Struthio camelus: one gene and its partners. The protein of the gene in region 3 purifies or fractionates together with the protein of the main gene of each other region. This does not show direct contact. Links are inferred from orthologs where the notes say so. Each region holds a gene or a part of one and is shown on either strand. Other genes may lie near its edges.

Region 1 (10,685 bases), on a different chromosome or scaffold from region 3:
TTCCATGACTCCATCTTGAACAGTCCCTGAGAGCTACTTCTGTCTTTGTCCTAAAGGACCCTAAGGAAACAATTTACATTATGGCAACTTCCTGCACCACACTAGGTTCAGTTCTCAAATACTACTACCAATGGATGATGCACTTTAATTTCAAATTTCCCCAGCAGTCAGGTGTTCTCCACCTCCCACCACTGGCACGCTGGGTCACAGAATTGCCCCAAAAACTAAAAAATTGCCCCAAGAACTGTAGAATGGATTAAAAAACCTCTCTTCACTTTATCATCACACAATGATTAAGAGGAAAACTAAAGCCTGACATTCTATTAGAGAGCTTCTTGCTAATACTTCTTCCTCTTACACACCTTCCCTGAAGAACTTGTTCTCTTCTCAGCACATTTGGCGCTGTTACAAATACAGTGCTGGAACAAGAACACAACCTTCGTTTGCTACGCCTAGCGTACAGGAATTCTTCTTGAACAGATCTTAACAAGACTGAAATAATTCCCAAATGTTCTTTCTGTGAGGAAGAGTAAGGAAGCACATTCCCAGCTTACCCTGATAAGCAGCGTCAGTAGCCTTCCTCTTCACTTCTGCCTCCTCCTCCTCCATTTTTTTCTTTCTGCATAAAGAACCAGAGCCTACTGTCACACGGCATCCTGCTGCCCTTTAGTTCTTCTTGCACAATCAGCTTATGGACCCCTGCCCCATAATCTCTAGGCGATAATGAAGTGCCTTTGCGGGCTCAGGCTCAATCCCTCTGAGGAGGGAGGCAGAGTCAGAGGCCAGTTAGAGTATGACACACTTTGCAAAAAGCTTCACTTCCAGCTGACTACTAAAAAAGAGGAAGCAAGCGTGGTGTCGCAAGCCATCACCAAGCTCTTCACTCAGAACTCCAAAACACATTCCCCATAAGCTCGTGCCCCACAGTCCAAATTAAGTCCACCCTTAGAAGCCAAAGCATCTGCCCTGCTATCTGGTATCTCTTAGCCCTAAGTGCATTGAGCAAGAGAACTCTGCCAGGCACAAAGCGTCAGGGGACTACAAACTCAGAGGCAAGTGTAATGAGGAAATAATTAAATAACCCACATCATAATCTCATTGCACAGCTCCTCCAGTCTATTATCCATGTGTCCAGCCTGGATCAGCTCCGCATCCTTCTTGAGTTGCCTGTAATCAGAAAATCTTCTTATTTGATCACTCAACAATAAATCCTAAGCAGCTCTTGTTCCACATATTTTTACCCCGTGCTCCTCCTCACCCACGCCACTTCTTCAAGACACAGCCTTCAGCTGCACCACAGCTTAATGCCTCTACCAAATACCTGTATTTCTCCTGCGTCTCTTTAATCATTTTCTTCAATTCTTCAACTCGTTCTGCAGTCAGTTTCCGCACAATAACATCTTCCACAGTTTCAACAACCTCTCCCTTTTCACCACGCTTTCTCCTGTAGAAAAAGAGAAAAATAAAACAGTTCAGGAATGAACCACAGAAAATCCCAGTTCTCCTTTCATAAATGACTGTTGTCTGTCATTCCTGCCACAAAAATCAACCTCCTCTTTCAATTTCCCTCAAATAACATTGGAAGGCATAATATTGAAACAATCTCTTCTGATAAGTTCCAATCATTAAATGTGTCCAATATTAAAGACTTCTGAAGACCAAAGATGCAAGCCCATTTCAAATTTTCAATCTGCAAATCAAGCCTTCAACTTCAGAGAAGTTTCTTTCTATCTGTGATGAAACATCTACTTTTTCTCAACAACTCTACCAGGCCCTTTGTTTTTATAACACTGCTACTGATGTTCATTCAGCACTATCCTACATAAACACTTCTTTTAAACAACTCGCCTTTAATTTAATTTGATGCCAGGTCCCTACGCAATATGCTTCAACTCAGGATGAGAAGTATCTGACACCATGAAGCTGCAGTGGTAACACTGATAAGAAAACTATCTGAAACCATTGCAAAGTAAAGACAGTCATAACTTTTCACCTCACTTCTACTAGTTTTCTACTTTTTTCTCCTTATTCTGAACTATAATTTTACCTATTTTTGTGTAATTTTATGTATTTTTGTCTAATTTTATGTATACGATCTTCTGATTAGTAAGACGAATATGTAGGGTTTTATTCCAGGCAAATAAACGTTCCTGTTTGCTGCATTACCTCCCCAAACGCATATTGCAACTTGCATAAATGTACCTGCGCCAAGAGACTCCAAATACCTTGCCATGTACTAGCACTGTAATGATAGGAGGGGTATGAGGAAGACACGAACAAGCACACAGTGACCAATTTTAGAATCAGGTACTACTGAAATACTTCAGTCTTTCAAAAGAGCAGACCAGATAAAAATATGGGAAGGATATTCTAAGGAATACCTTAGGCTTGCTTCCCAGCTGCTCTTCCCTTTGAGTCAGTCTTCAACATCTGCCATACCCTAATCACAGTGCCTGCCCAAGCCAGCTATCACAACTGAATTTCTTCATCCCTGTACGCTCCTCCTGGGCAAACTACTATCAAGTGCTTTGCTGTAAGAACTGACAAGTTCCTCCAGAATTGCTAGGGACAGCCCTCGCTTCAGACTTTGTACTCACTTAGGGGTCTCTGTAGTCTCCAAGAGTTCTGAATACTGGGAGGCACAGTGCTAAGAAGAAAGAAAGAAAGTTAGATGACACCCAACAGTCACCATCAGCAAACGATTATCAACAAAGCCTTCAGGGCACCTATTCTTCCTCCTTCAGAGGTCTTTCTGGACATATCTGACAAGGTTCCCACAGGTTCCTCCATAATTACAATTTAATGTACCTCAACATGAGGAAGCATATTCCCTCCCTACTCTAGGACTGCCCAGGCTGACCTTCAAAACAATAATAAAGAGATGTTCCCAACTAACAATTTACAAATCAAAGAAAGCAAGCACGAGGAGGAACTGCAGCTGTTATGCTTCCCTCTGTGAACATGCACCAAAAATCTTTCAATGCAGAAGAAAAGGTAGCGTTATAACAAGGCTAGTTTCATAGTTTAACAGCACTAAGAAAACAGTGAGCAACATAGGAAAAAAAAAAAAGACTCCTCCTTCCTTGATTGTCTTAATCTCTTTCTGGTCCTTATATCACAAAACTCTCTGATGCCTGCCCCAACAGCTGGATGCACCAAAATACAATATAATACAACGGCAATGACAAATTCCAGTGGCTAGGAATTCCACAACTTAATTACGTGCCATGCATGTTTGCTTTGAATCTGCCTCTTGTTAGTTTTATTTAATGTCCCCTAACCCTTGTATTGGATAAGGCAGTGAACAATTAATCCTTATTCATCCTCAGCATGCCATTTCTGATTTTACAAACATCTCTCCTGTATCTCCTGTTAGTCATCCTTCTTGCATATTGAAGGGTTCTAGCTTACTGAGCTGTCCCTTACATGGAAGCTGTTTCATGCCTTTGATCACCCTTCTTGTCTTTTTATGAACCTTTTCCAACTTCTGCTGTAAGCTCAAATTTAACTGCAGAAACAGGAAAAGGTATTTAATCCAACTTAAGCATAAAACTTATTAAAAATATTTTTCTTTTTTCCTTTTTTTTTAACCAAAAAACAAACAAAAACAACAGTCTCCTAAGCAGCTGTCGTGTATATCCAATGGATAACTCATCTTCCGCAAGATGCAAAAGCCGGTATCTTACCTTTTGGGAAAACCAGTCAGGTGGGCGGCCTGGCTCTGCAAAAGGTTTGATAGCTCTGCTGACTGAGACCCTACAGGAGAGAAATCGTGAGCCACTGTCCACCTACTTTTGTACCCTGACCAACATGCAGTGAAATGGTGCTAACCTGTCTCGATATTCACCACTCTGAACAGTCCCCATAACTGCACTGAACTGGTCTAGATAGAGTTGTTATGTTTGGGAATTATTCCAGGACAACTTTAGAACTCAAAAATATTTGCCTACTGCCAAAAATACACCCCCTCCTTTGCTTTGAAAAGCAAGTTTCTAGCTTCTGAGGACACTTTTAAGTTTCCACAACAAAAACTTTACTTTGGTAAAGTCAGGTCACTTCATCCAATTTATAAACATGCTATTCTTTCATTCTTCTAATTAACACACTTCTGTTTTCACAAAGTAGTTAGAAAATAAGAACAAAGATTTTCAAGCTACGTGTCTAATACTTCCACGTTTGTTTTGAACAGAAAGTCCACAGAAAGCAGAATGTTTTAAGACCAGCCAGTGCACAACCAAACGGTGTGGTGAAACGCAACATGCCAACACAACACGAATCCGTGCTTTGCTCTGTGAAGCCTAGCCGCTACGGTGCGGGTACATCCCGCGTGCGGCCAGGCAGCGCCAGGAAGGGCCACCGTCGGGGTCCGCGCTGGGCTCTGCTCAGCCCCTTACCAGTTCTGGTCCCCGCTCCGCATGACGGACGAGGCCAGGCACAGCTTCTCGCGGATGGACCAGGGCTCTGTGGGGCCGGCGCTCAGCAGCTTGTGCTCTGCCGGCAGAAGGGAAAAATCCCCCGATTCGCACCTCCCGTGCGCAGCCCGCCGCGACCCGGGCACCCCCCGGCTCCCGCCTCGCCCCCGGCCCCGCCCCCAGGCTGGCGCTCCACCCCGCCCCCACCAGCCACGGCCCCGCCCAGTCCCGGGCCCCTCGGCCCGCCCCTCCCGGGCCCCACAGCCATAGCCCCGCCCCTTTCGCGAGCCCCTTTGGCCCCGCCTCCTCCCTTCAGAACCGCTCGACCCTACTCGGGTCGTTCCCCGTCCCCGTCCTCGTCCCCGCCCCAGCCTCGCCGCCACGGGCCGCCGCCGCCGCTCCCCCGCCGCCGTACTCCCCCCCTCCCCCGTCCCTGCCTCTCACGGCGAGCCCCACACTCACTGCCCGTGCCCGCCGCCATCTTCCCCGCCTGGCCCCAGGGAGGCAGGGCGGAGCAGCGCGCAAAGCCCGCTGGGAGGCGCGCGCGCCCCCTGCCACCCCCCCGAGCGCGCTGGCGGCCGAGCGGGCGGGCCCCGCCCCTGCGGCGGCACGGCGGGCGGTGATTGGCGGCCGCGCAGGCTCGGGCTCCCATTGGCGGAGCGGGCGTGCGGCGAGGTTTGAAACCCCTAACAGAAGGTGCCGCGCGGAGGCGAGGTGGGCGCGAGCCGCTGCGGCCCAGCGCTGCCGCGTGTGGGGGAAGGGGTCGGTCTCCCGGTGGGGGGGGGGGGGGAATCCTGCTTGGGGGGTGTGTGTGGGGTATGTATGCGGGGGGGGGGGTCCTGCACGGGGTGTGTATGTGGGTGGGGGGGGTCCTGCACGGGGTGTGTGTGTTTAGGGGGGAGGGACCTGCACGGGGTGTTTTTGAGTGTGGGGGGGTCCTGAAGGGTCCTGTACGGGGTGTCTGTGTTGGGGGGGATCCTGCACAGTGTGTGTATGTGGGTGGGAGGAGAGTCCTGCCCGAGGGGGAGGGAGGGGTCCTGCATGGTGGGGAGGGGGTGTATGTAGTTGTGTAGGAGGTTCCGTGTGGGGCTGTGTGGAGGGGGGGTCTGGCATGGCGGTCTGTGTGTGTGGAGGGGGGGGTCCTGTGGTGGTATGTGTGGATGGTGGTGTGCGTGTGTGCATGCAGGGGTGTGTCCATGTGGGAGGGTGTGTGCTGAGCGGCTGCGCGGTGGACTGTGCATGGCGGGTGTTTGTGAAAAGCGAAGCTTGGGCTCCTGAAGGCTGCTGTAGCATCACCCTGTTTCCACTGTGCCCCTTTTTTCTCCAGGAGTTGTGTGAGACGCCATGGCCCAGGCACTCCTCTCCCCAGGGCTGTTCTCTGATGACGAGGCTGCAGCCTCCCCTGTTCTTGAATCCACAGCAACGGGGTTTGGGGCTGATGTGCGCAAGGACTTGCTGTCAGAGTTCTCTGCCATCTCTCCAGAGCTTGGGGGCTCCCAGCAGGTGAGGTTGGAACGCTTTTCCCACAAACAGGATAGTGTCCTGGCTTGTGACTGCTGTGTCTCTGCAAAAAGGTGCTGTAATACAGGGCCGACAGAGGCCCTTCAGAGGAGGTTAGAACAAAACATTGCTTTTAGAGAAGATCTTGCCCCCCTTGGGAGTGGCTTCTGTTGTGAAGAGTGTACTCTGTAGGCCAGAACCAGTAGGTGCCTCCTGGTATGAGGCTTGATCTGGGGGCTGGCTGGTTTCGGTGTTAGTTCTTTGGACTGTTGGTCTGATTCACTAGATGCACGGAATGAATGTCAAGGTGCCTCAAAATGCCTAAGGAAGCTTGTTTTCTGGTGTTTCTGGGGCTCTTGAGACCACTGAAGCACTAGCTGCTGAGCAGCAAGCAGGTCAGGGTGTGTTCCATGCCGTGCTTCCCATTAGCATTCCGAGTCTAACAGATGGTTGTGTGGCCTCTGGCTAGCACATCTAAACTGTCTTGATTTTGCAGGCTGTAGCTGAAGACAGTAATGGGAAAGTAAAGGTGTATCTCAGAGTTCGACCTCTGAAGTCTACAGAGCTAGAAAAAGGGGAAGATCAGGTAAGACACTGAAATAAGCACACCTTGAGCTGGTTGCCTGTGCCTGCCTGGAGGAGCTACCATCCTTTGCTGTCTGTGCCATGGCCTCTTGTAAGCCTTTGCAGTGATGGGATTTAATTGGTCTTTCAGGCTTGTGTCTGCATTGAGAACTCGGAGACTCTTCTTCTGAAAGCCCCCAAGGACTCCTTCACCATGCGGAGCACAGAACGCGGAGTAGGGCAAGCAGCGCATAGATTCACTTTCACCCAGGTAGGGACAAACAATCCTTCTGGAACTTTTCTGAGCTTACACTAGTGTTACAGCTAGAAAAGCTGAGTTGCTAATGAGCAGTGATACCAATGCACTGTGTGAGTTATGTTGTTCTTTTGTACAACCCTCTCTACTGAAGTTTTTTTTTTTTTTAAAGCTGACCCTGCCACCCATTTTGGCAGCAAATGCCAAACTCTTTCTCTCTCTCTCTCTCTCTCTCTCTCTCTCTCTCTCCCTCTCTCTCCCCCCCCTCCCCCATGGGGCTGTAAATACACTAGCAGCTGTTGAAATGATCAGCTTGTTTTTGCAGGTGCTTAGCCTGGAGTGATTGCTGGGTCTATGTTTATGGTGTGGGGCAAGTGGAAGGGACAGTAGTAGTGTGTAGTATCACTTAAACAAGGGTCAGTCAGAAGATAAGAAAGATCAACGTGAGGCTAGCTATTTTCCTTCCTGTCTCGTTTGCAGATCTTTGGGCCAGATGTGGGGCAGAAGCTGTTCTTTGATAGCACAATGAAGCAGGTGGTAAAGGATGTACTGAATGGGCAGAATTGGCTAGTTTACACCTATGGCATCACCAATTCAGGGAAGACTCACACTATTCAGGGTAAGAAGAACAGGGCCTGTTAAAGGAGTTATCTGCTTCTGTGTGTGTACTGAGTCCTCAGCTTGCTGTGGCTGCTCTTTCTTTCAGGTACCAGTAAAGATGGTGGGATTCTGCCTCGGTCCTTGGCAGTCATCTTCAATAGTGTGGGGGACCGACTGTATCAAGCCATGGATCTGAAGCCCTCGCTCTCCAATGAGGTGATGTGGCTGGACAGCAGGCAGATTCGGCAGGAAGAGACCAAGAAACAGACCTTGCTGCAGGGGGGTCTGTGGGAGGTAAGCATGCTCCTTCTAGGTTATTTATATTAAGAATAGGGAAGTGACGGCATTGTACTGCAGGCTCATGTTCTTCGCCTCTTGCAGGAGGAGCTGCTAACACCACTGAAGAGGAGTCACAGTGCAGAATCCCAGCTTCAGGCCACCACGAGTGGCAGTTTTGACAGCGGAGTTGCTGGCCTCTCTTCCTCTAGCCAATTTACCAACCATTCAGACGTCAGCCAGACAGAAGGTACATCTGGCAGCCTGTTGTGCACTACCTGCTTCTTTTTACTGGGGGCTATGGGAAGAAAGGAATGCTTGTTATTTGGTGTGTAAGGGAGTGAAGATTCTACAGTCTCAAGAATTTTTTGGAGGAAAGCTGAGAATCTCTGTGCTGAAGAACTTTGACTGTGCATGTGTTGTTAGTATATGAAGGGCTGACTATGGTTTAGTAACAAAGCCTTGTCAAATGAAAAATTACTTGGCACCTGCTTACTTCGTTCATAGATAAGCTTATTGAGCAGCTGAGCATCATGCTATGGGGATAGGGGGAAAGCAGGCTGTCTAAGGTGACAGGCTGCAGTGAGCACTTGTGCCCAGACTGTCAAATCTAGGAACTACTAGCTGATCAGATATCCAGAAGCACAGAGTCATCGAGGTAACCAGGAGTATAACTTCACTTATGCCAGGAAGGGCTCCTGTTTAAGATATCCTATACTTCTAGACTGGAGATCAAACATAAAAAGTCCTTATACAGAAAGGAGGATGCCACTAAAGGGAAGCTTAGAGTATTTGGCTGGCTTATAGGCATTAGAGGAGGTCTGGGTCGGGGGCAGGGGGTTATAGAATACATTTCGGTTTAGGATAGTGTTCCTGCTAAGGAAAGATACCCTAGCCTCTAATTAAACCATTCAGGCTGGACTTGTGAAAGTCTGCACTCATACCTGTTTCCTCTTACTCTTCCCCAGAACCGGGCCCTCGCTGGGCTGACCTGGATCGTATTTCACTCACCACTAAAAGCGATGTGCAGTTCTCCATCTGGGTCTCCTTCTTTGAGATTTACAATGAGTTAATCTATGACTTATTAGAAGCAGCTCTACCGGGTCAGAACCGCAAGAGGCAGACATTGCGACTCTGTGAAGACCAGACTGGCAACCCCTATGTGAAAGGTAGATTTGCCTGAAAGATATGCTTAGTGGTTCACTAGGGGTGGGTCCGGGTAGATCATACTTGAGGGAGACTTATGGAGTGAGCAAGTGGCTTAGCACGGATGTGCTGGGGAGCGTAATGTTCTCTGTGGCCCCTAGGTTTCTGATATTTAGGTAGGGTGAAACGAGGTTTGTTAATGCCAAGGAAATGCAATAGTGAAGTTTGGGCTGAGATAATTATTTCTCTGCCAGTCTCCTAACTGACTTTCTCAATGCATGTCTACTTGTCCAGATCTAAATTGGATCAATGTCCGTGATGCTGATGAGGCCTGGAAGCTCCTGAAACTGGGTCGGAAAAACCAGAGTTTTGCTAGTACTCACATGAACCAGAACTCCAGTCGCAGGTCAGGGGTGGGAACACAGTGGGTTTAGACCGAGTCGTACAATTCTGAGGGGCTTCTACAGGCCATGCTTCCTTTTCTTAAATATCTGCCTCTTCTTACAGTCACAGTATCTTCTCTGTTCGGATTCTGCACTTGCAAGGAGGTGGCAGTGAAATTGTTCCCAAAATCAGCGAGTAAGTTCAATGCCCTTTAGGGCTAGGTTTTTTTCTGGTGGACTCGACTTTCCTGTCTCTGCTGTGGTTATGGAGCTGGTATGGGAAATATCTTGAGGTGGGTCTAGATGAAAGTACTTGGAAGGAGTAAATGTTCCCATTATAAGTCCTGGAATCGATAGTGGGAAGGTGTTTGTGAGGAGCACTGCAAAGTACAACCTGAGGTAGTTGTTGGGCTCTCTGAATAAAGGTGAACGTGGGTAGCTTTGCCCTTGTACTGGAACTGATTTGACTGCTGCTGATGCCTGTTCCTGGCATGTAGTTATCTGGAAATAAGTTGACTCAGTACCTGGAAAGTGGCTGTCCTGAAGATTGGCAGATGATCCTCAAACTTAGCACCACTGAGCTCATTTGGTATTACCTTGTGTAAGCCCTACAATTAGGGTAGGTCTTACCATCCAGCAGTAGCCTATACTGCAAAGGTGCTCGTGTGCTCTAAGGAAGCTGGGAGGGTGAGCACGGTTACATGAGCACAGGGTGTCTGACTTCTAAAGCTGGGTAGAACAGGGCAAACCCAGAGGGTCATGTAGTACCTCCTGCGTTTTCTTCAGGCTATCCCTGTGTGACCTTGCGGGTTCAGAGCGCTGCAAGGACCAGAAAAGTGGGGACCGAATGAAAGAGGCAAACAACATCAACACTTCCCTGCATACATTGGGCCGCTGCATTGCTGCCCTCCGCCAGAACCAGCAGTCAAAGTAAGCATCCAAGACATCACAGAAGAGTGTGCGGGAGGCTGTTGTGCTTTCCCATAGGCTCACTCTTGTCTCTCCCCATAGATTGAAGCAGACTGTGGTTCCCTTCCGGGACAGCAAGCTAACCCGTGTGTTCCAGGGTTTCTTTACTGGACGTGGGCGCTCTTGCATGATTGTCAACATTAACCAGTGTGCATCTACGTATGATGAGACTTTGTACGTAGCCAAGTTTTCAGCCATTGCCAGCCAGGTTAGTAGTACACCTCAGGATCATGGCATCACTTTGTGCTTCTGTGGGAATGAGGCCCTTTCCATCGCAAGGCAGGGGAGATGCTTACAAGTCCTCCCCAAGCTTCTCCAGCGGCTTATTGCCTCCACAGTTTCTCCAGATTCTGCCAAATTTAGAGGTTTGACAAACTGCAGAAAAGCGCCACTTTTAAAGACTACATGACTTACGGGTTTTGTGGACTTGAAGTAATGGTAGACTTTTTTCCCTTCAGCTTGTTCAAGCACCTCCCACAAAGGTAGGACTTCCATCCATACAATCAATCATTAAAGAGCACAGCAGGCGAACCAGCCAGGGTCCAGAGGCAGTGGCAAAGGAAGAAGTAGATACAGAAG
Region 2 (10,495 bases), on a different chromosome or scaffold from region 3:
AAGGGGGCTCAGGCACCAGTCATGGGCCACTCGGCCCTTCCGGCCACCCTGAGCTCTGCGCTCCTCCGCACAGGGAGCTGGATGAGAAAAGCCTTCTGCTCTGACATCCTTGCAAAAGGAAAGGACAGAGTCAGTGCTCTGGCCCTGGAGTTGGTGAGGGTGGGGAAGAGATTCTGGGGTGGGGAAGAGCTTCCTTGGAGCAACATAGGGAAAAGTGGCTGTAGCCACACAAAATGGTTGACATTACGGGAGAAGAGAGGCTTCTCCCCTCAGCTGGTAGGCAGTGCAACAAGGATATCTTGGCCCAGGCCTGCAACACCAGCCTCACCTTGCCGGCCGTCTCCATGCTCTCATCCTCCTGCTCATCTGGAAGAGATGAGAGAGAGATGCTGAGGATCGGGGGAGCCCAGCAAACCCCACCCCCACATGCCGCAGCAGTGCTCAGGCGGTGCCCAGCTGCAGCCCCAGGCAGCAGGGCGGTATCAGCACTGCCAGACCCCGGCCGAGGACGCCTGTGCAGCACTTAGCCCCTAAATGCGCAACCCCCCCCCCCCCGCCCCCCCCCCCCATAATCAGCACACAGGGTTGGACTTACCCAGGTCTGTCATGGTGCCCCCCTTGACAGGTGCAGACTCCGAGTCCTTCTTGGTGTTCACTGCATCGGAAAGGAAAGAGGTGCTGAGTGCATGGAGAAGGGCGATCCTGCCTCCCCCAGCCCAGGCACGGGCGAGGAGGAGGGCGAGATGCCCCCTGCTCTGCCAGGCCTGGCCTCTCCCAGCCAGGAGTGCCAGGCCCTGTGGCGAGGCCATGGCCATGGCCCTAACCTGTTTTGGGCAGAGTAACCTCCTCCACGTTGGGGACTGGCGAGGGCTCGTCCATGTCCTTCGTCAGATCCTCCTGCTCCTCCTCACGGTGCCCGCGCTTGGATTTGTTGTAGGGGGTGGAGGGGCTGCCAAGGCGAGACCCCATGCGCCCTCATCACGGCTGCAGCCATGGGCAGGGGGTGCCCGGCAGCTTCCCTCTTCCCGTCATGCCAAGACCCCAGCCCTCTTGGCACGACTCAGGGCCAATCCCAGCTGTCAGCTGGAGCCCCAGAGCCCCTCACCCTTTCTTTGCGTTCTTCTTCTTCGCCTCCGGGGTGGGCGAGGGAGAGGGTGAGCGCTTCCTTTTCTTGTAGTTGCCCCCTTTCTTGTCCCGCCGGTCCGAGTCGGGGCTATTCACCTGGAGAGGGGAGAGGAGGCGGGGGGTCACTGCCCTCTGGGGCATGCTGGGGGGCACCACTGCCGTGCTGGGTGGCAAACTGCAATGCTGTTGGTGGGACTGAGGGGTACAGGAGTGGCCGTCCTCTCCTTTTAGAGGGATGGGACAGCTCCTGCTCCCGCCCTGGACCCCCGCCATCCTCCCAGCACCAGGCCAGGTCCCACGCGTTTGCAGGCCCCCCCCACTCCACAGCTCTCTCTGGGGCTCTGACCTCGTCAGTTAGGGTCTTGGCGGAGATCTTCTTCCTGCGGGAGACGGGGCTCTTCTCATCTGTCACCTCGTAGTCCTCCTCGTTCATCCACTCGTTAAAGGTGTCCGTGTCTAGGATCCATTTGGCATGGACCTGCCGGAGAGGAGGGCTGGCAAGTCAGGGAGACCCGGCTCTGCGCGGGCGAGGCAGAGGGCCAAGCCCAGCCTCCGTCTGAGCCCAGCGGCCCCATTACCTTCCGGGGCTTCTCCGGCGTCGGCGCATCCTCCACCGAGGCTTCGATCTCACTGGCGGGGATCCAGGTGTCGTAGCTGGGGAGCAGAGGGGCAGGGGTGAGAGTGGTGCCCTGAGGGACGCCTCGCTCACCGGAGGCCAGTGCATGGTGTCAGCCACATCCTGGAGCCCCTCCAGGAGAGCGGGGCTGGGCGCAAGCAGCGGGGTGCCCCGGCCCTGCTCACCTGTCCGGGTAATAGCCCCAGTGCAGGAGGACCTGCTTGTCCCTCTTCATGACCGGCCGGACCCACTCTTCTGGAAGACACAGAGGGAGGGAGCTAACTCAGTGCCAGATGCTGGCAGACTGGGGCATCGAGCACCAACCCCAGGCCGCAGCTTGCACTGCCGTGTCCCTGCTCTGCTGGAAGAACGGCCCTGAGACGCCTCGCTCAGCCCTGTCCCCCCAACCCCAAAACCCCACAGCATTTCTCCGAGAGCGGACGCTCAGCCCGAGCCACTCTCCTTGCAGAGGCTGGCACCAGGCACCCACCTTCCTCCAGGTTGCTAGGGACGGGGCAGACAACGTGGGACGCGTTGTTCTTGTCCTCAGTCACCGTGCCCTGCGAGGGGAGCAGAGGAGGTGGTCAGGCCATGAGGCTGAGCACCAGGATGAGGCCCACCCCCCCCTCCAAGCACTGCCACCTACCTGGTGTCTCTTGACTATGTCTTTCAGTTTGCTCAGGAGCTTGGGCTCGATCTCCTGGTGCAGGAAGATGTTGGGTCGGGCCAGGCAGTTGTTCTGGGGGAGGAAGAGAGCAGAGCAGTGAGCAGGGGCGAGGGAGCGGGGCCAGGGGCAGCGGAGGGCCGGGGGAGGCGCCCGTTACCTGCACCAGAGATTTCTCGATGGTCATGAACATCTCCACATTGCGGTCCATCCGCGAAGGATTCTGGAAATCGAAACGCCGCCTTATTGGAAGAAAAGAGCGACTCTCATGAAAGCCACAGCTCAGGTCTCCTCATCAGCTGTTCAAAGCCTGCCTGGGGGACAGGGAGGGGAGCACCCGAGCCCCGCCGCGGGGCCCTGGCTGAGGCAGGGGGGACTCTGCCCCGCCACCCGCTTGCCAGGGAAGTGGGCACGTTCAATGGGCCCGAGCGCACCCCCAACGTGGTCCCTCGAGGGGGACAAAGGGCTCCGACCCGCTCCCGCTCCCCCAGGCCCAGGACGGAGCAGGACGTGACGCCCTCCCACCCCACCCCTGCGGCCCCCCATCCTCCTGGTCCGCGGCCACCCTCCCCGCGCGGGGGGGCGAAAGGCGGGCGGCTCACCATCCTTGGTCGCTCTTGAACTTATAGGCCGCCGCCAGGATGTGGCACAGGGCTCCTCCCGCCTTGAAATCCAAGAAGCATTTTATCTGCAGCGGGAGCAAAGGAGTCAGGGCAAGGTGGGGGGGGGGGCACGGGAGGGCAGTTAGCTGGGGTTGGGGGGGCGGGGGGGGAGACACGGCGCCATGCCCGCACATCGGGGCACTGTGCCCGCACACTGGGCCGCCGTCCGTGGTGGTCTCGGGGCGCTGTCCGTGGTGGTCTCGGGGCACTGTCCCCAGGTCCGGGGGCGCTGTCCATGGTCAGGCCGTTGTCCTTTGGTCAGGGCGGGGCGCCTTCCCCGGGGGGGGAGGTCACTGGGGCACTGCCCTCCCCCCCCCCACCTTGGAGCAGCGTCCCTAGGACAGGGCGCAGACCGGGGTGCCGGCGGGACACGGCACAGACCGGGGTGCCGGCTGTCAGCAGGGCACAGCGCAGGGGTCACTGGGCTGCTGTCTCCAGGCGCATTTTGGGCGCTGCCCTGGGCCAACAGGATGCAGACCCCCCCCCTGCCTGCTCACGCCCCCCCCCCCCCGGCGTCCCTAGGCCACAGCCCCGGGGTTTCTTTGGGGTGCAAACCATGTCCCCAAGGTGCAGTCCCTGGCCGTCTTCAGGGTGCAAAGCTCGACGGGAGGGTGGGGGAGGGCGCAGAGCCGAGGGATTTTGGGGCACAGTTGTCGTGTTTTGGGAGTGCAGTGACTGGTGTCTCTGGGGTCGGGTCCTCGGGGGTCTCTGGGGCCTGGTGCCTGGGTTGGGGGGGAGAGGTGTCTCTGGGGTCCAGCCCCTCAGGAGGGGGGGGTGAGGGGGGAATCTCTAGGGTCCATTCCCCGGGAAGGAGATATTTGGGGCCTGGTCCTCCAGGTGGTGGAAGGTCTCTGGGGCTCAATCCCTGGGAGTGGTTGGTGGGGAGGTCTCTGGGGCCTGGTTCCCGGGGGGGGCGGTCTCTGGGGGTTTGGGGAGGGGTCTTTGGGGCCTGGTCCCTGGAGGGGGGGAGATGTCCCTGGGGTTTGGGGAGGGGTCTTTGGGGCCTGGTCCCTGGAGGGGGGGAGATGTCCCTGGGGTTTGGGGAGGGGTCTTTGGGGCCTGGTCCCTGGAGGGGGGGAGATGTCCCTGGGGTTTGGGGAGGGGTCTTTGGGGCCTGGTCCCTGGAGGGGGGGAGATGTCCCTGGGTTTGAGGAGGGGTCTTTGGGGCCTGGTCCCCGGAGGGGGGAGATGTCCCTGGGGTTTGGGGAGGGGGTCTCTGGGGCCTGGTCCCCGGAGGGGGGAGATGTCCCTGGGGTTTGGGGAGGGGTCTCTGGGGCCTGGTCCCCAGAGGAGGTAGATGTCCCTGGGGTTTGGGGAGGGGTCTCTGGGGCCCGGTCCGCCGGGTGGGGGGGGATGTCTCTGGGGCCCGATCCCCCGGGTTTGGGGGGGGGGGGGGGTCTCACCGGCAGCTTGGTGAGGGGCGCGTTGCTGACGTGCTTGCCGAACACCTCCTCCTGGAACTGCAGCAGCTGCACCACCAGGCTCGACAGCGACTTGTTGGTGGGGGGCTCGGCCTGGATGTACTGCACCGGGGTGGGGGGGGGGGGGGCGTGAGCAGGCCGGGCCTGATGTACCCCCCCCCGGGGGTGGGGGGGGTCCCCCTCCTCGGCTGCCCGCCCGCCGCCGCCGCTGACAGCCCCGAGGGAGGCCGGGCGGGGGAGGCCGCGGCGGGGCCGTGACAGGCCGGGGGGGCCGGCGGCGGCGGGGGGGGGCGGCCCTACCTTCTTGTAGTTCTTGCTGAGCCAGAGGCGGACGTTGTCGAACTGGCTGACGGTGTCCGAGGCCTCGTAGTACTTGACGTTGGGGCCGCCGTCCTTCTTCCGCACCGCCATCTTCCAGCGGGCCGGGCCGCGCCGCGCCGCGCCGCCGCCGCCGCCGCCGCCGTCACCGCCTCCCTCCTCCCTCCCCCCCACCCCGCCGCGACCGGCCGCCACCGCCCCCTGCTGGCGGCGGGGGGGGCGCGACCGCCCCCTGGCGGCCTGGGGGAGCCGATGGCGGTACCGCCCCCTGGCGGTGGAGGAGTCGAGGTGGTACCGCCCCCTGGCGGTGGGAGGAGTCGAGGTGGTACCGCCCCCTGGCGGTGGGAGGAGTCGAGGTGGTACCGCCCCCTGGCGGTGGGAGGAGCCGATGATGGTACCGCCCCCTGGTGGTGGGAGGAGCCTCGGCTGGTACCGCCCCCTGGCGGTGGGAGGAGTCGAGGTGGTACCGCCCCCTGGCGGTGGGAGGAGTCGTGGCGGTACCGCCCCCTGGCGGCCTGGGGGAGCCGATGGCGGTACCGCCCCCTGGCGGTGGAGGAGTCGAGGTGGTACCGCCCCCTGGCGGTGGGAGGAGTCGAGGTGGTACCGCCCCCTGGCGGTGGGAGGAGTCGAGGTGGTACCGCCCCCTGGCGGTGGAGGAGTCGTGGTGGTACCGCCCCCTGGCGGTGGGAGGAGTCGAGGTGGTACCGCCCCCTGGTGGTGGGAGGAGTCGAGGTGGTACCGCCCCCTGGTGGTGGGAGGAGCCGATGGCGGTACCGCCCCCTGGCGGTGGAGGAGTCGAGGTGGTACCGCCCCCTGGCGGTGGGAGGAGTCGAGGTGGTACCGCCCCCTGGCGGTGGGAGGAGCCCCGGCCGTTACCGCCCCCTGGCGGTGGGAGGAGCCCCGGCCGTTACCGCCCCCTGGCGGCCCGGGGCGGGATGGGGGGGGGGTCGGGTGGCCCCGCGGAGCGGCCGGGGCGAGAGGAGCCGGGGGCGGCCGGTGTTGGAGGCTCCCGGTCCGCGCCGCCCCCGCCGCCCCGGGCCGAGCGGGGCCGAGCGGGTCGGGCCGGGCCGGGGCGGAGCGGCGGCGGCGGCCGTCTAGGCGGAGCGCGGCGCAGGGCAGGCGCGGCAGTCACGGTGGCCGAGTGGTTAAGGCGTTGGACTCGAAATCCAATGGGGTTTCCCCGCACAGGTTCGAATCCTGTCCGTGACGCGACGGTTGTTTTTGTGGGGGCCACCCGGGCCCGGCCCGAAAAAGGGGCTGGTGCAGCTGGGGGGTCTCGGGGGGGGGGATGCTGTCAAAACCCCCCCCTCCCCCCCGGTACCCGCTTTTTATTTTTGAAGATGGGGAGGGGCAGCTCGTGCTGCATGGATGAGGCACAACCCCTCTTGGGGTGGGGGGAGCCCTTGCTGGGGGGGGGCACAACACCTTTTGGGGCGGCTGCAGAGCTGTTTATGGGGGGGCTGCTCCTGCTTGGGGGGCAGGCCCCCCCCCATGCCCCGGGGGGGGTCCCAAATCCTCAGACACCCCCGGGGGAGCAGAGCCCCGTCTCAGGGGTGCTGCCCCCCCCCCACCCCGGCGAAGGCCCGGGGAGCGGTCGCGGAGGGAGGACGCGGAGCCGGGGCAGCCGCCCACAGCGTCCCCGCGGCGGAGAGAAGCGCCCGGAGCGACGACAGGCTGCAGCATCCGGGAACGGCGGTTTATGTCGCGCAGGCGACACAAAAGAACCAGCGGGCGCACAGGCAGCGGCCGTCGCGGCTCCGCGCGTGCAGTTTTCCTGTTGGATTTAGCAGCTTTGTCACATTCCTGAGCACAAGGGACCGGGCTGGAGGACCCCCCCCCCCCGCCACTGGCCCCTCCAAACAGGGCGTCATCTAGACACCGAAACAAGTACAAACCACCTCGGACAACAGATTCCCACGCCAGAAAACATTCCTGCTGCGTTAAAAATACAGGATACAAACCCACAGTGACAGCAGGCCCTAGAGCCGCCGCGGAAGAGCCAGAAACGCCCCGCAAGAGCTGGCTGGAGCCGTGCAGGAGAGGGAAAGGGCCGGGAGGGAGGCAGAGCCCGGCAGCAGCGGGGACGCCTCGCAGCGGAGCAAAAGCCAAGCTGGGCGCTCGCGGTGGGCGACACTGAGCACGCGAAAGCCCACAAGGAAAAGGGGGAGAGCGAGGCCGCGCGCGGGGCTAGCGGGAGCGATCGTGCATCTGGCTCCCCGGCGTCGGGCACAGCAGGGCCAGGGAGAGAAGCTGGATGTGGGGAAATCTTCTTTCCCACAGCCATAGCAGCCTCCTCTCCCCTCTGTATCCCTCCGGGTGCCCTCTGCCTGCTCCGGCCCCTTCGAAGCATTGCTGCCGGGAAGGCCCCTTGGCGCAGAGCGGGATGCATGCAGGGAAAAGGGACCTGGGGCCGCTGCAGGAGAGCTACCCGAGCTCCGAGGCTGGCGTGCGCCCACGCGTCCTCCCTGGGAGAGCGCCGACTCCGCTCGCTCCCAGCGAAAAACACAGCTGCTGCAGGGGCAACAGAGAAGGGGAAAGGGAACTCTCTTGAACCAAAATACACGGGTGCTCTCCTGGCTTCTTCCTCCCGGTGAGCAGGGACAGCTGGAGCTCCCAGGAGGAGCAGAGACGCCCGATCCCGGCAGTGAGGATGTTGTCCGAGCCCCATGTAAAGCAATCAGAACGCTGTTTATTGATTATTTAAATCCCTGCCTCACAGTAGCCCACACGGGCACAGGAGTGAGCTGATGAAACCGTATCTGAGCAACACAGACACAGGAGGAGAAAAAGTACTGTAAAAAACAACAAAACAAATGCAAATAAATTAAATTCCCAACAAGTAAACGTAACCAGGTTCTGAGGTGCCTGTCCATGGTACTTCAAAAATAAAATAAGGGGGGGGTATACAAACAAGAGAGGCCAAAAAAGTACAAAAAATACAGAACCACAATCACAAGTGTCTGAAAAGTAACAACAGTAACAGTACAGAAAGCTCTTCGCGAACACTCAATGCACACAGGACAGACAGGACCGTTTCTCTAGGGCTAAGGACAACGCGTGGAGGCAACTTTAAATGGCACAAGATGCCTGGGCGGCCACGAGCCATTCGCTCGGGCAGGAGCATCTGCACGACGAGCCTGGGAGAGCCCGGGCTCTCCTGTCCGGAGAGCAGAGGGAGCCGGGGCCGGGCCGGCAGCGCAGGGCACGCACGGAGCGACGGCAGCAGGAGGGCGGCACGGCCAGAGCAGTTCTGAAGGGACGGTGGCATCCAGGGGCCGGGGAGCCCATCTGAAAGGCTGGTTCCTCCAACGCAGAGTCTCTCCCGCACGGGGGAAGGCCCCAGCCCTCCACCAGCGCTGGAGGCTCGTTCTCTCAGCAGCTCAGCTGCCTTGGCTCCAGCTGCCTTTAGGTTTCCGAGAGTTGCTTTGGGGCACTACTCACAGCTCTGTTCGTGGACTTGCTCCTGGGCTGCCTCTCCCCACCCCATGCCCCCTCCCCAGCCCAGCACAAGAGGCTGGGGAGCAAATCCTGCTGTTAAGGTACTGTGTGGTCAGTCAGGCATGGAAGGAGGCAAGACTTGAAGAAAGAGCAACAGAGAAACCTTTTAAGAGTGAGGCAGGAGGAATCCAGAGAGGGAGATAAAGCCCAAGAAGGATTTAGCCACTGGACAAACAAGAGAGACACCAGTGGCCATGGGGCCGGTCCACAACGAGATCAACTTATCCTTTCAGTTTGGGTTGCACAAAGAGCCAGGGCTTTGGTGGAGGCAGTAGCATCCAAAACGCAGGCTGGGTCTGAAGAGTCTGGCGGTATTCAGTGGAGCAGTTGTGCTTTCTCTCCCTCTCCCCCCTTGGAAAGACATTGCATGTAGAAGCTGATCTGCAAGGGGCAAACACGGATGGGCTGCACTGTGTGTTCACTGCTGGGCCAAGTGTTTTAAGTAGTATTTACCAGAGGCATTTAATCATTTCAGCTAGGAAGCAAGAGGCTCAAGGGGATAAGGCTCTAACAAAACCACACAGGCGGCTAGGGAACACCAGTGGTTTTGACCAGCTACTCCCCCAGTCCCTTCTGCCTCTTCACCTTCTCCTTCCTCTCCCCTTGTCAGCACGAAGCGTTTCTTGCTTTGAAAGTCCTTATATTTCCTCCACTCCGTGTGCAAATATCATCACCAGTCCTGGCTCTAGCACCATGTCCTCACCCATGTGCTGGTTTTCACAGGCCATCACCACCACGGCCTGCTTGCCAGGGATGCGCTTGGCCACATAGTTCTCGTAATACCGCCGGTTCATCTGGCGGGTTTCCAGCGTGGCCAGGCCCTGCGGCCAGTTCCGCTCGTGGGCGTTCTCGATCAGCTCGTTGATGATGGATGTGGGGCAGCCGCTCTCCACCAGCGAGCGCTTGATGACGGCCTGCAGCACTGCATCCGGAGTGGAGATCATTCCGCCCCACCGCGTCACCCGGGCTGGCTGGAGGGAGTTCACCCACCTGGTTGGGGAGACAGGGACAAGCGGACTGTCAGGGCCACACATTAGAGGTGGCTGTCACGGAAACTGAGGAGCTCCTCTGCCTCTGGTCTGCTCTGTGCCTGGGAGCTGGGCTGGATGGTAAAGACCTCTTTTCCCCCCACCTACCTCTCCTCTGTCCCCACCCCCACAAGCAGTCCCTGCAGGTCCCTTTGCTGTCGCATTCAGTTTTGTTGAACAGAGCCTTTAACTCCCAAAAGGGAACAGAAGAAAGGATCAGATGAGAAGTCACTTCCTCCAGCCTTTCTCACAAGGAGGAAGGAACCTGGCAGCTTCCTGCTTGTGAACAGGATGCAGATGGAAGACTAAAAACGATCAGAACCCATTGTGCAACCAGCTCACATGCCGCTCCCTAGCGCAAACATCCCTGCAACTGCCCCCCGCCCCCTGCTTTTGTAACAAGACAACACATTTTCTTCTCAAACTGTGCCCTTCCCTGGCAAGGCACTTCCTCCTCCTCTCGTTTGTCAGTTAAGCTGGCAGAGGCTCAGCTCCACTCACTGATGCAGGGCTCCCCTCCTTCTCCTAGAGCAGCATGAGAACCAGTACTTACTCCAGGATTTCATTGTATTCAATGGTCTCTTCCAGGTTCTGCAGGTTAGGGTTGACACTGCGGATGGCTCGCATATAGGCCTTCAGCAACTGAATGTCCCGTTTCTAAAAGAGGCAGGACACAGCAGGGTTTGCAAAAGGAGTCACTGCAGCAGCTAGAAGTCACGAGAGCATACCCCAGCAGAGCAGCAGGGAGTAGCACGTCCCTGCCCATCCGCTGAGCTACTGCCCCCAGCAGAGCTCTCGGCGCTCCCCAGTTTCAGGGGAAGCTGGTGTTTGAACGGGCAGGTTTCGCTCTGCCGCTGGGTCAGAGCGAGGGCACTGCCCTACTTGGGTTGTCAGGCTCAGCCACCAGGCAGTGAAGCCACAGTAACGATCACTCATGGGGATACCCTCAAAACTCTGGGCTGCCTTGACCTGCAAAGGGCAGAGCAGGGCAGGAGAGGGAGTCCTGGGTTTCCCTCCACATGCTGAGCAAGGAAAGGACTCCAAGAACAGCAGAGCCGCAGAACGGCAGCAGGGGCCTGGCTGCTCTCAGTTGTCTGCCCTGCAGCCGCTTTCTTTGCGCACAAACCATTTTCAGCGTTTGGCATCTAAAAAGGTAGGACTGA
Region 3 (10,758 bases):
AGGAGGAAAATAAAGTGACATACTGTTCATCATAGGTTGAATCCGACACTTGGAGGACAGACGCTTGGAAGTCCTGAATGACACACTAGGAAGACAGGAGTAATATTGTTAGGAAGAACTTTAAGTCTATAACTTAACAGAAATTACAGCACTGACCCTGTCTTTTTAAGAGTTTTCTAGGTCTTGGAGAGGAAAACATGATACCCTTGCAAGCCAAACTTTATGGGATTCCTAGCGGGGGGTTGAGAGCGGGAGAAAGGAACTACTTACATTACACATGTAGTTGTGCCAAGACCTCGTGACTTGAGGTAACTTCTCTTTTCTCTTCCAATTTGCTGGTGACCCCTCACGAACTGCCTCCTGAGATGACAGGAAATGTGAATATCAGTTAACCATTTAAGCCCCTGCCCTCCCCGCCCACCAGATCAAATACTTGAAGTTACTTTCCCACCTTTGAAGCAATCATGTATGGAGGGATTATCTCTATATTCATTTCCTGAAACAATTCTCGGCACTGCATAGTAATGAAGTCTCCTGCCAGTGGTGATTTCACTATACCTAGAAAACAGAAAAACATCTCGAACGTACTGAAGTCGTAGAATAAATCCTCCCAACTAACTATTCGTCAGAGAACACTAGTTATTTCCTAGTTAAGGGAACACATGCCTATTTAAAAACAGTAATAAAACTGTAAAACCAGTAAGAAAGCTAACTCATTTTTTAACGCTGCAGCGTTATTATCCATGAAAGTCTTTTACCTTGCTGAAGTACATATCCATCATGCACTGGAATAGCAGTGGTGTGCGTTGCTCCGCTATCCAAAATGAGACCCGTGGATCGCCCATTAGCAAAACTAGCCAAAACGATTAGGGAAAATATTTTAATTTTCACTTTGGAAAAGACGCTGTCATAAAGTTTAAGTAACCAGGAACAAGGACCCTACTGTTTTTCTCCTTGGCTTTATGAATGGACTTGCCATTTTCTTTCTACAAAAGTGAACATAAATCCTGTTCTCTCTGTGAGGTTACCTTCTATCTGTAAACTAACTGGAACGCTGGACATAAAAAAGTGACAACTCAAGTTAATATTACGCAGCAAGCTCCAAGTACATCCAACTTAACATGTTTTCAGCTTCATATTCTATCAGTCTAAAATAACTACAAATTTCAACTTAAAGTTTGAAGTTCCTATAGCCTTCATTACCGTATTTAGGAGTCAGGACAACGCCATTTCAGACGTCTAATATTATTATCATGGTATACAATGAAAAAAGACACTGCCTCCATGCAAGACAGTCAGACTGGGAGGACTTCAAAACTGAGCTCTAAGGCTCAAGTTCAGAAATGGAATTTGTTTCCTTCCTGCCTAGATGTTTACGGAAACATTAATTTGAAAGAAAATGGTTAGATATGTTGTTTTACTAGGAATTATCTAGAATAAGTTTACCACCTTTTCTTGGGGAAAAAAAAGGCTCAACATTTCAAAGGATACGCTGTTAGAACAGCGGTTTTGCATAAGAAAAAAGCAGGGATGTTGTAGTGTTCAAACATCAATTCAGTTAGTTTTTCACGCTTTGCTCTAGTATTCCACTAGAAAAAGAAGAAGAAAAAAAACCACATACACACAAATAAGTGATCAAAATGAAGATGTTTATCCTGAGGATCATCAGAGCACGTTCAAGGGACGCTAACAAAATGAACAGTTACAATTATTAGAACCATGGTTTCAAATCATATCTAAATTCTATGCAGATAGACTGCTAGAATTTTACTTAGAATCTTTTCCATTCCAATTCTATGACAAAAACATTAATATTTATCTCTTATACAAAATTAAAGGAGCAGCAACTTAATAATACAGGAAGACTTCTGATAAGCAGGGTAAGACATATACAACTTTACAGTTACAAGAAAGAGTCCTTCACCCTTCTAGAGATCTTCCAGCATCAGTCTCTCAAAAAAATCTAAAACAAGTAACACCCATTGTACAGGGGAAAGATACATGACATAACTTGCCTGGTTGAAAGAAAAATAAATCCAGATTTGCCTGTTTTTAAGGTATCTTCCTACAGTTCTACTGTACTTGTGATTAAGCAAGGATATATTTCAAATATTCCGCACATCACTGAAAAAGCAAAGTCTTTCTTTCTATGCCAATGATTCGAAGTAAGATTAGTTCTGTGAGGGGAATTCTAATGGAAACCTTTACTGAGACACCCATAGAGCCATCAAACAGGCAATAACTGCCGCAAATTCATCTGTACTCCAGCCAGGTACAACCACCTCCTCAGGTGGTGCATGAAAATCATGGCGGGGTGGATGTTGTTTTTGTTTTTAGCTATTTTAATAAGTCCAAGGGACTGTAACCAAGAATTCATCTCAAGAACATCAGCCTGCTTCAACTGCATATAAAGGGATAAAGCAAATCCTACTCAAAGATTTTATTAAAGAAGGGCATAACTACAGTATGGCATGCCAACATCTTGTATTCAGATTTTAACATCTGTCCTTCGAATGCTTGCCACAAGCAAACAAGAGGGTGAGGTTTTTGTTTGTTTGTTTGTTTTTCCCAAAGAGAAATTTGGATTCGTCCACTTCGCCTTACAAGGCCCTTTACAGAAATGAAGAGAGACAAATTAAAATTTCTTCATTATAAATATTCTTCTCTGTCATGTAATATTAGTTGGTGGGCTAAAGGCAGTGACAGATTTCCAACGGCACTCTACTAAGTATAACTTTATTGTCCTAACATGTTTTCATTTTTACTCCAGGGAATAAAGTGAAACTTGTTTTTTTGCTTCTTTTCAGTAAGTTAAAAAAACAATAGCACATGGTAAATAGTTTCGGTGCCTTGTCACAGAAAGCATTTCAAACTGGCTTTTTTTTTTTAGCCATTTTTCTTAAACAGACTACTTCCAACAATCTGGAAAAGTACTTTAAAATGGTTACTTCCCTAGGTAAGTTTTAATACTCGTAATCTACAAGCCAGCATCAGATTTGTTGAAGACTAATGCTTGTAAACTTAGCAAGAAGATGCAGTTAAAGCTTTTCAAAAACGCAAAGTTGCTTCTACTCACTGGTGCTTCAGACATTAGAACAGGATGCAAACTTGCTTCAGATTTAATATGCATCTTGTATGTGTGATCCAGAATTGCCTGGAAACTATCCCAGTCTTCAACTGTAATAACATCGAAGCAAGCAGATTAGTTTACTTCTAACTTTTGTTCCACTTCACGCATACATAAAGGTTCTGTGATTTCTTTTTTTCCTAAAGCTCTTTAGTCCAAGGCTATACTCAAAGACATACTCCTCCTTTAACAGCTCTGCAAAATTCTATTCCTCTATAAGTATCATGATCATAACATACTCAGAATTATGCTAAAAATCTATCAACATCATAAACCAGCTACACTTTATGCAACTAGCGCATCAGATATCTGTTCTTATGACGGTCTTAGGATGAGCCTCCACTTACACACAGTACAGGAATGAGCTTCCAACCTAGTTCCATAAATTACCTCTTTCTCCTTTTATCAAAATTTAAATCCAAGTCAACAAATAAGAAAGAAGCCTACAAGCCTTCCCTTACATCAGACAAATGCTTACTGTCTTATCCAAATTTCTTTAGGGAAAGCAGATTCTTTCGTTTTAGGCCCTGTTCTCCAAACCCCCAAAAGAGAAACACTTAAGCACATACCAACTTCTTCTGTGAAAGCTATGTTTTTTTGCAGCCCAAGTAACGCTATTTTAAGAACAGATAGAAGAAGACAGAGCACCATACTCATTCCATTTTTTAAGGGTGAAATGGCCTCCATATTTTCCCGTGGAACTCTCAGGGCATTGGTGTCTATGTAGTAAGTCGGGCCCCCTTGTTTGCCTTTGTCACCATCTATCTCCATCAAAGTGCTGCCATTGTCCCTTTCTAGCACCACACCAATAGCTGTTGGAAAATCCACCTGTAAGGCAACAGGTAAATAGTCATGAACATTATTCATGTTTTGGGAGGACGGTTCATAAAATTCAGACCTTTCATTATACACCTTAGTAAAAATAAAGACCCCAATGTATTCTGGAAACTCGTCAACTAACAGGTTTGGTGGTTTTGGTATTTTAACCGGTTCTAAGGTAAGTTCTAGTTTTTATGTTATATTTCAATCACACAAACTCTCACCTTTGGACAGTCTTCACCCGCATAGCCTGCTCTCACTGTATACGAGCCAATGTCAAACACAAGAGCCCCAACTTCATCTGTAAATGTTGTGAATACAGAGAGAGTCAACGATTATTACACTCCATTACAACCCCGACCTGCCTTTGCCCTGCCTCCTGTCCATTTGGCCGGCAAAAGAGAAAAGCAAGTCAAGGCCTATTTCCAACGCAAGGAGAAACTTGTCTATTCAGAATTCAGGTTTCTGGAGAGCGACTACAGGACCGCCAACAGGCTTTAACTGGGACGCCACAGCAACTTCCTTCGGCTTAAGTAAAAACGGCCACTTCAACAGGAGAGAGAAACCGTCGCTGCATCTGCACGGATTACAGGACGGAGCTTTCAAACAGTGAAGTCACGCGAAGCCAGGTCTGCCCAGGCCACCCGAGCGGCGCTGCCGCGCCTCGGCTAGTCGCAGGACAAAGTACCTCGGCGACGCGACCCCGGGAGGGATACAAGTAAGGCCTTCAGCCGCCGCCTCCTCCTCCTCGCTCATGCTGGCGCCCCCCACCGCGGCGGAAGAGCCGGGCCGCGGCCTCCGGCGCCCGGGGCCTGAGGGCGCCGCCGGGCGGGCGGGAAGGGCCGGGGCGGCGCGCGGAGGCGGGGGGGGGGGGCGGAGGTGGGGGAGGCGCGCACGCGCCGCCGCCTCACGGGACGGCGCCGAGCTCAACGGTCGCGCGGGGGCGGGGCGGACAAGCGAGGCGGCACCGGACTCACCTCCGCCGTACACGCCGCCACTCATGGCTGCCGCTGGGCCCGCGCCGCGCTCCCCGGGCCCGGTGTCCGCCGCCGCCGCGCCGGCTTCCTCGGCGATCCGGCAACAATAGCGCCTTCGCCCCTCTCGCCCCCGGCGGGCTCAGCCTAACCCGCCGGCCTGCCGCCTTCCCGCCAATGGGGAGCGCGGCTGCCGCCCGCCCGCCTACCGCGCGTCGCCCTGCCCGGCGGCCGCTAGGGCAGAGCGGCCAATCGGAGCCGGCGGAAGGCGGGGCCAGAGCGCGGGGAGCCAATCCTGAGGCGGGAAGCGGCGGGCGAGCGAGCGAGCGAGCGAGCAAGCGTAGGTGCAGCGTGCGGGGGTGGAGGCGTGTGAGGAGAGGGCCGTCCGCGGGCTGCGTGTGAGGAGGGGCCGGGCCGGGCCGGCGAGGCGGGGAAGGCGACTAGGCGCACCGAGGGCCAGCGGGGTGGGCATGCTGCCTGCACGAGGGGTTGGGTGGTAGCGGGCGGTGGGGTGGGTAGAGGGTGTCCGGGGCGGGGGCGGTGGAAGGGCGCCACGGTCGCTGCGGGCGGGGCCTCTCTGAGCCCTTCTCCCGCCGGCTCCGGTCGCTGCTCCTTAGGGCTCCTCAACCGGGAATAAAATGCGCTGGAAGTATGTACTGGTACGGCAACACCATGCTCTTCCTCTCCTGCCTGAGGCACTCCTTTGCACCTCAGAGCTTGGCCCCTGAGGTTAGCTCATCTGGCCAGTTAAGCAGTTTTGATTTTCTAGCTCGGCTGCCTGTTAAATAGCTGAACCTGTAATTAGGAGAAGAGATTGCCTTGTTTGGTGTCAAAAGCATTCAGCCAAACTTGGCGTTTGACCAGTAGGACCAGAGAGGGGAAGCTAGAAAGTTGTAGGAAGTTGATAAAAGAAAAAGACCTGAGGTATACCAGAGGTTAGTATTAGAGAAAAGTAAAAGCTTAAGAGTAGGGAAATCGGCTTAAAATACAAGCGTTCTTGGTGTGCACCTTTTTGAATTCCTGCGTGGGTTATTTTGGAGGAGGTGAGGGCTGATCTTTGTGTGTGTGTGTGTGGCCTACTTTATAGTCATGGATGCTCTTTTCAAATTCACATAGGATGTGTAGTTTATTTCTGAATCCTGCAGGAGGATACTGAACTCAGATGGCATGATTATGTACGATCAGCATAATAGAGCGGCATTTGATTTATTATCTTTGCATTTACTTACCAAGTATTGCAGAGCATAATGAGTGATCACAGTAACAATTATTGGACTATAAACATGAAAAAATGTGTTTCTTATATTTTCACTTTAAGCAAAAAAAGTTCTGCTTAGTGCAGGAGTCCTGCTTAGTCTTATTTTGATAGGTAGTTTAGTACTTCTTACAAAGCTTTGGGGTTTTTTAAGTTGTAGCCTGAGTTTCCACTCTCACTCTTTATTTACACTGCTTATTTTGTTTGACTTTAGCAACATTTCAATTTTGATCAGTGAAATGAGAAGAAATAGAACATTTACATTTGGTACACCCAGGCATATTACTTCAGAGGTTTTGTGAAGCTGTTGTGAATAGAACAGATTATTGCAGATTTCAGCAAACTTTATGCTAGTGAAGGAAAAGAGCAGGCTAAATGTGTGTGTTTTGACTACAGCTCCCAATCTGTTGCAGTTAAAGGTAGGGTGCTGACTAACAGTCTCCCCTTAAGTCTCTTTGTGAACCAAAATACAACACAAATGCTAAAATCCAACAGTAAGAGACAACAAGTTTGGGTTTTTTTTAATGCAGTTATGAGAAAATCAGGAGACGGTTAGACATAATAGCTTTCAAGGGTAAGTAATTTAATTTGACAGGCAGTTTGATTCTCTGTTTCTTTAATGAGCAAAATTCATAATTTTTTCATGACAGTAGGAAATTTGTAGTTTTGACATAACTCACAATATCATAAAACTACAAAACAGAGATGCTAGTGTTAGGAAGAAAGATGTAAATCCTGCTTTTGCACTAACTGTACCAGATGAAGTCAGTGCACCTCACATTTGTCTTATAAAATCTTTTAATGTTAATGTATTATCATGATTTCCAGTATGTGGCACTAATACCCAAGGCAGAGTTGTTTGAGGAGGTGGAATTAATTACTCTTAGGAAAATCAGTTCAGAAAATTCGGCATTAAAATACCGGAGGATCTTCATTTAGCTTGTGGTTGTACTTTGGTTATTATTGTAATAACGTTCATGGTATTCTTATGCCAATTGACGCTTTGGGCCAGATCTTGCTCTGCACAAGAGCTACTGATGATTGATCTGCATGCCAGAAACAAAGGCAGTACTGTGCCTCTTTCCTTTTCTCCAATATTTCTTCAATATAGAAGAATTCTTGGTGATACCAGCAGAAAACGCGTGGCGGAGTAAAGAGGCACGTGGCAGTGTGTGGTGGGGAGAGAGGATGTGCCTGTGCTTGACTAATCTTTGCCGCTAACGGTCCCCAGTACAGTGGCCGCTGGGGACTGTTAGCAGCAAGCCAAGTAGTATTCACTAAAGATCATTCTGATATTTGGCAGCCTCAGGATTAGAAGAGCACCAGGATATGAAACCAAACCTGTGTAATCCTCAAGAAGCTAGAAGGATTTGGGAAGGGATATTTAGGCTGTAAACTGTCTAGGTCTGACTTCTCACTGCCTTGCACTTTTGTAGGCATTTACATCAGTGGAAAGAGTGTGTAGAACGTCATCACTGTGGTTTAATTACGTTTTAGAGTGCCTGCATTTGCTTTACAACAGTGTGAGTATCTGCAGTAGAGAAGGCAATAGAGAAATAGACTCGAAGCATCTTTCAGCAGAGTCTGGTCTTGCTTACCAGGTGTACGTCTTATTTCAGGTGTACGTCTTATTTCAGGTGTACGTCTTATTTCACAGAATTCCTTCAGGTTATCCTATGTTTGCCTAAGAGTAGGTAAAACCTAGAATTTTGCCACTGCTGACTATAACATACCTAAATATTCTTGTTTAAAAACATTTTTGCATAGTTTTCTCAGAAGCAAGGATTAGAGAATAACAGTGAATGGAAACATTAAATGTATTTTATCTAAGTTCCCGTATTGGTACAAATGGCAATAGCATCTCGGCAGTGGTTGCATGTGTAGGTATGGTACACACTACTTGCTTTTCATGGTGATACCGCATACTGATTTACTGTATGTGACATTGTATATAATAACTTTGGAGTCAGACACTAACATAAATTGGCACGCAGGAATAAACAGAATGATCATCTTAGAAGTGGGGCATGAATAAAGACCCCAAATGATGATGCTTGCTAGTAATCAAAAGTTAATTTCATCAGTGGTAGTCAGGAGACTCTGGAGCTTCTTGATTATTGTCTGAGTTTTTTAACTTTGTTAATACGTAATTGTTTCAAGCATGTGCTTGAACCTTTCTGGTAATATAAAGCAATGTAGAAAATGGTGTAATTTCAAGCCAAAATTGAACAGAATTTTTTTTTTGTTTCTCAGTAAGCTGCTCATCCCTGTTGGGTTGCCAGTGGCCTGTTCTTTTTGAACAGTGTCATACAACTGCCAGTCCATGTCCCAGGCAGCAGAGTGATGGTGACAGCGGGTTATTCATAATGTCTGTCTTCATCCTTGTTTCTTGATTGCAAAACGCATGTTAAAGGTTTTATTTTTCTAATTTTCAGAGGAGGTCTTAGATGTTTATGTGAACTATAAAAGCATCTGTAGATGAAAAAGTCAAACAATTATTAATATTCATTCACTCAGTCACTTTATGTGATCTCTCAGCTTCTCACTTTGATTGCTAACGTGTTTGGGTGTTTTTCAACTTTAATACTTCCCTTTCTTACGGGGATGTTTTGAGAATAAATACACTATCACCCTCATTCTGCAGAGAGAGAACTAGAACACAAACTAAACGCTAAGTCTCACTAAGGGGCCTCAGCATTGCCACACCTGGCCTTTAGGTGCCTTGCTCAACGATAGGAATCCGGGTTCTGTATTATGTTTCCTCCAAAATGAAAGAGAGGCAGGTGCCTTAAAACTGGATTTGCAACAGGAAAATCACTCCACAGGATATTTGAGTTGAGTGGTAGAAAGTGCTGAAGAGAGGAAGTATGTCTGAAGTCTGTCTGTGATGTTAGCTAGGGAGTCATAGGGAGCTATGTCCCAGAATCCCCTTTTGGAGCTGGTGTCTAACTTGTCCTTTTGTAAAAGGCCCGTGACTCACTGTCATTTTAGAACATGATTGAAGGAAGAGGTGATGGTGCTTGCCATTAATAAACAGTCAACTTTCCGTCAGTGGTAGAGAGCCTGACTAGTTTTCAGAGAAAAAAATGGCCTTGCATGCTGAGGTTGCAGCTGGCTCTGGCTGGAATAATAGGGGCTAGGATGCCCTGGAGAATGGGAAAAAAACCCACATAATAGCAATGCTGCTACGTTATTCTGAGCCTGAACTGGTTCCTGTGAAACCAGCTGGGAGGACTCTGGACCGCTTGCCTTGTTTAGCTCAAACGCAGTACAAACTCACAGAGGCAGCTTAGGTTTGAAGATGGTAGAGCAGTACTTGCCTGGAACTGATCCTGAGGTAATAGGTGTGCTGGGCTAAGCCAGCTCTGGCCAGAACCTCTGAAGTGTGCCTGTATCGCCTTCTCAAATGAGTCCCTTGTGTTCAGACATCTCAGTTTGGCTCAGGTCTGGCAGCACTTACTGTTTCAGGCTTAGCGCTTGTTCTGCAGTCTCTTTGGATTCTTGCAGGGCTTATTAGCTTGGCAGCTGGGCCAAACCTGAGCTGGCTCACTGTATCTCACAACAAGTACTGCACAAACAAAGCCACCTACAGTTGTGGAGCCAGCTTATGTTGATAAACAGTAGCTCTTTGTATCAACTGAGCCTTACCGTTATATAGGGCATTTTGATCCCCTGCTAGAAGGGAGACTTGAGTATAATAGCTGAGCAGGTAGCATGGAGCACAGGTCTCTTGTTTCTTGGGCAGATGCTCTGTCTTCAGCCTCACAAGGTTCAAATTCCTATTCCCAGCTTCCCGGGGGAGGGGGAAACGCTGTGTTTTCTCACTAGCGGTTTTGAACTATGAAATCATGGAGCTAAGAATTATGGCTCTGTGTAGCCAGAGGTAAGGAAGCCAGAAGGAGAGTCTGCTGGTTAACTGACTCTGCAAGAGAAGAGCCCTGAGACCCTATTTCTGCTTATGCGTTTTTTTACGGGGTGAAATAATACGATCCTTTAAGTAGGGCTGTGGTGCGAATCGATGATTTTACAGAGTCATGTTACTTTTTAACGTTATCTTTTTGGAACCAAATTAAGCTTGAACTCTTGGCCTGTTCTACCACAGAAAGCTGTTTTTACTTGACATCTGGAAACGTGTCTTTTGAAGGGGAAGTTTTGGTGTAACCAAGTATGTATGTTTGTTGGTATTTGTTCTACCACCAGGAGAGGGCATAGGCAAAGCAGGGGGCAAAAGACTTTGGAAATCAGCATCAATGTAGCAGGGTTAGAACACAGACTAGAGTAGCGTTATTTTTGTTGGGCTTCAAAAAACAAGATACTGATGTCATTTTCTAGATTTACTTATTACTGTATCACAAGAGAGATGATTATAAACTTAAGTATTAAATGGAATGTCATTGAGGAAAGAGGAACGTATTTGCTGGATAGGCACGTAGACACAAAAGATTATCACATTTTTCCTGAATTCATTCAGGTCATTACTATGACAAGTATATACTTTGTTGTACCAGTCATCCAAAATGAGTACATAGAGCTATGCAATTGCGCTGCAGCAAGAAGTCTGATACAGAAGAGGATATGCTTTT

What was found. The genes of interacting proteins can lie anywhere in the genome.
Region 1: the proteins of ACTL6A (region 3) and BRD8 fractionate together in Homo sapiens (co-fractionation; 4 studies listed by BioGRID and IntAct, with this or other methods). This does not show direct contact. The link is inferred for Struthio camelus from reciprocal best matches to the Homo sapiens genes ACTL6A and BRD8.
Region 2: the proteins of ACTL6A (region 3) and SMARCC2 purify together in Homo sapiens (affinity purification with mass spectrometry; 8 studies listed by BioGRID and IntAct, counting the BioPlex papers as one, with this or other methods). This does not show direct contact. The link is inferred for Struthio camelus from reciprocal best matches to the Homo sapiens genes ACTL6A and SMARCC2.

The regions. Positions count from the first base shown.
Region 1 is NC_090954.1:9,637,464-9,648,148, reverse strand, and holds the start of BRD8 (bromodomain-containing protein 8), read right to left. Parts: upstream 4,962-10,685; 5' UTR 4,894-4,961; coding exon 4,875-4,893; intron 4,492-4,874; coding exon 4,395-4,491; intron 3,757-4,394; coding exon 3,687-3,756; intron 2,648-3,686; coding exon 2,598-2,647; intron 1,445-2,597; coding exon 1,322-1,444; intron 1,168-1,321; coding exon 1,087-1,167; intron 620-1,086; coding exon 555-619; intron 1-554. Other genes in the region: kinesin-like protein KIF20A, read left to right, coding at 5,757-5,915, 6,409-6,498, 6,628-6,747, 7,213-7,351, 7,439-7,626, 7,714-7,858, 8,577-8,777, 9,049-9,160 and 4 more. UniProt on the Homo sapiens protein: May act as a coactivator during transcriptional activation by hormone-activated nuclear receptors (NR). Isoform 2 stimulates transcriptional activation by AR/DHTR, ESR1/NR3A1, RXRA/NR2B1 and THRB/ERBA2.
Region 2 is NC_090969.1:553,485-563,979, reverse strand, and holds the start of SMARCC2 (SWI/SNF complex subunit SMARCC2), read right to left. Parts: upstream 4,962-10,495; 5' UTR 4,900-4,961; coding exon 4,789-4,899; intron 4,591-4,788; coding exon 4,471-4,590; intron 3,094-4,470; coding exon 3,008-3,093; intron 2,648-3,007; coding exon 2,566-2,647; intron 2,481-2,565; coding exon 2,388-2,480; intron 2,302-2,387; coding exon 2,232-2,301; intron 1,997-2,231; coding exon 1,927-1,996; intron 1,780-1,926; coding exon 1,704-1,779; intron 1,604-1,703; coding exon 1,472-1,603; intron 1,222-1,471; coding exon 1,106-1,221; intron 950-1,105; coding exon 825-949; intron 656-824; coding exon 596-655; intron 367-595; coding exon 329-366; intron 1-328. Other genes in the region: RNF41 (E3 ubiquitin-protein ligase NRDP1), read right to left, coding at 8,943-9,294, 9,886-9,989. UniProt on the Homo sapiens protein: Involved in transcriptional activation and repression of select genes by chromatin remodeling (alteration of DNA-nucleosome topology).
Region 3 is NC_090950.1:24,680,015-24,690,772, forward strand, and holds the start of ACTL6A (actin-like protein 6A), read right to left. Parts: upstream 5,120-10,758; 5' UTR 4,949-5,119; coding exon 4,924-4,948; intron 4,803-4,923; exon of another isoform or gene 4,635-4,802; intron 4,248-4,634; coding exon 4,171-4,247; intron 3,956-4,170; coding exon 3,697-3,955; intron 3,178-3,696; coding exon 3,077-3,177; intron 1,590-3,076; coding exon 1,492-1,589; intron 854-1,491; coding exon 759-853; intron 559-758; coding exon 452-558; intron 361-451; coding exon 271-360; intron 86-270; coding exon 24-85; intron 1-23.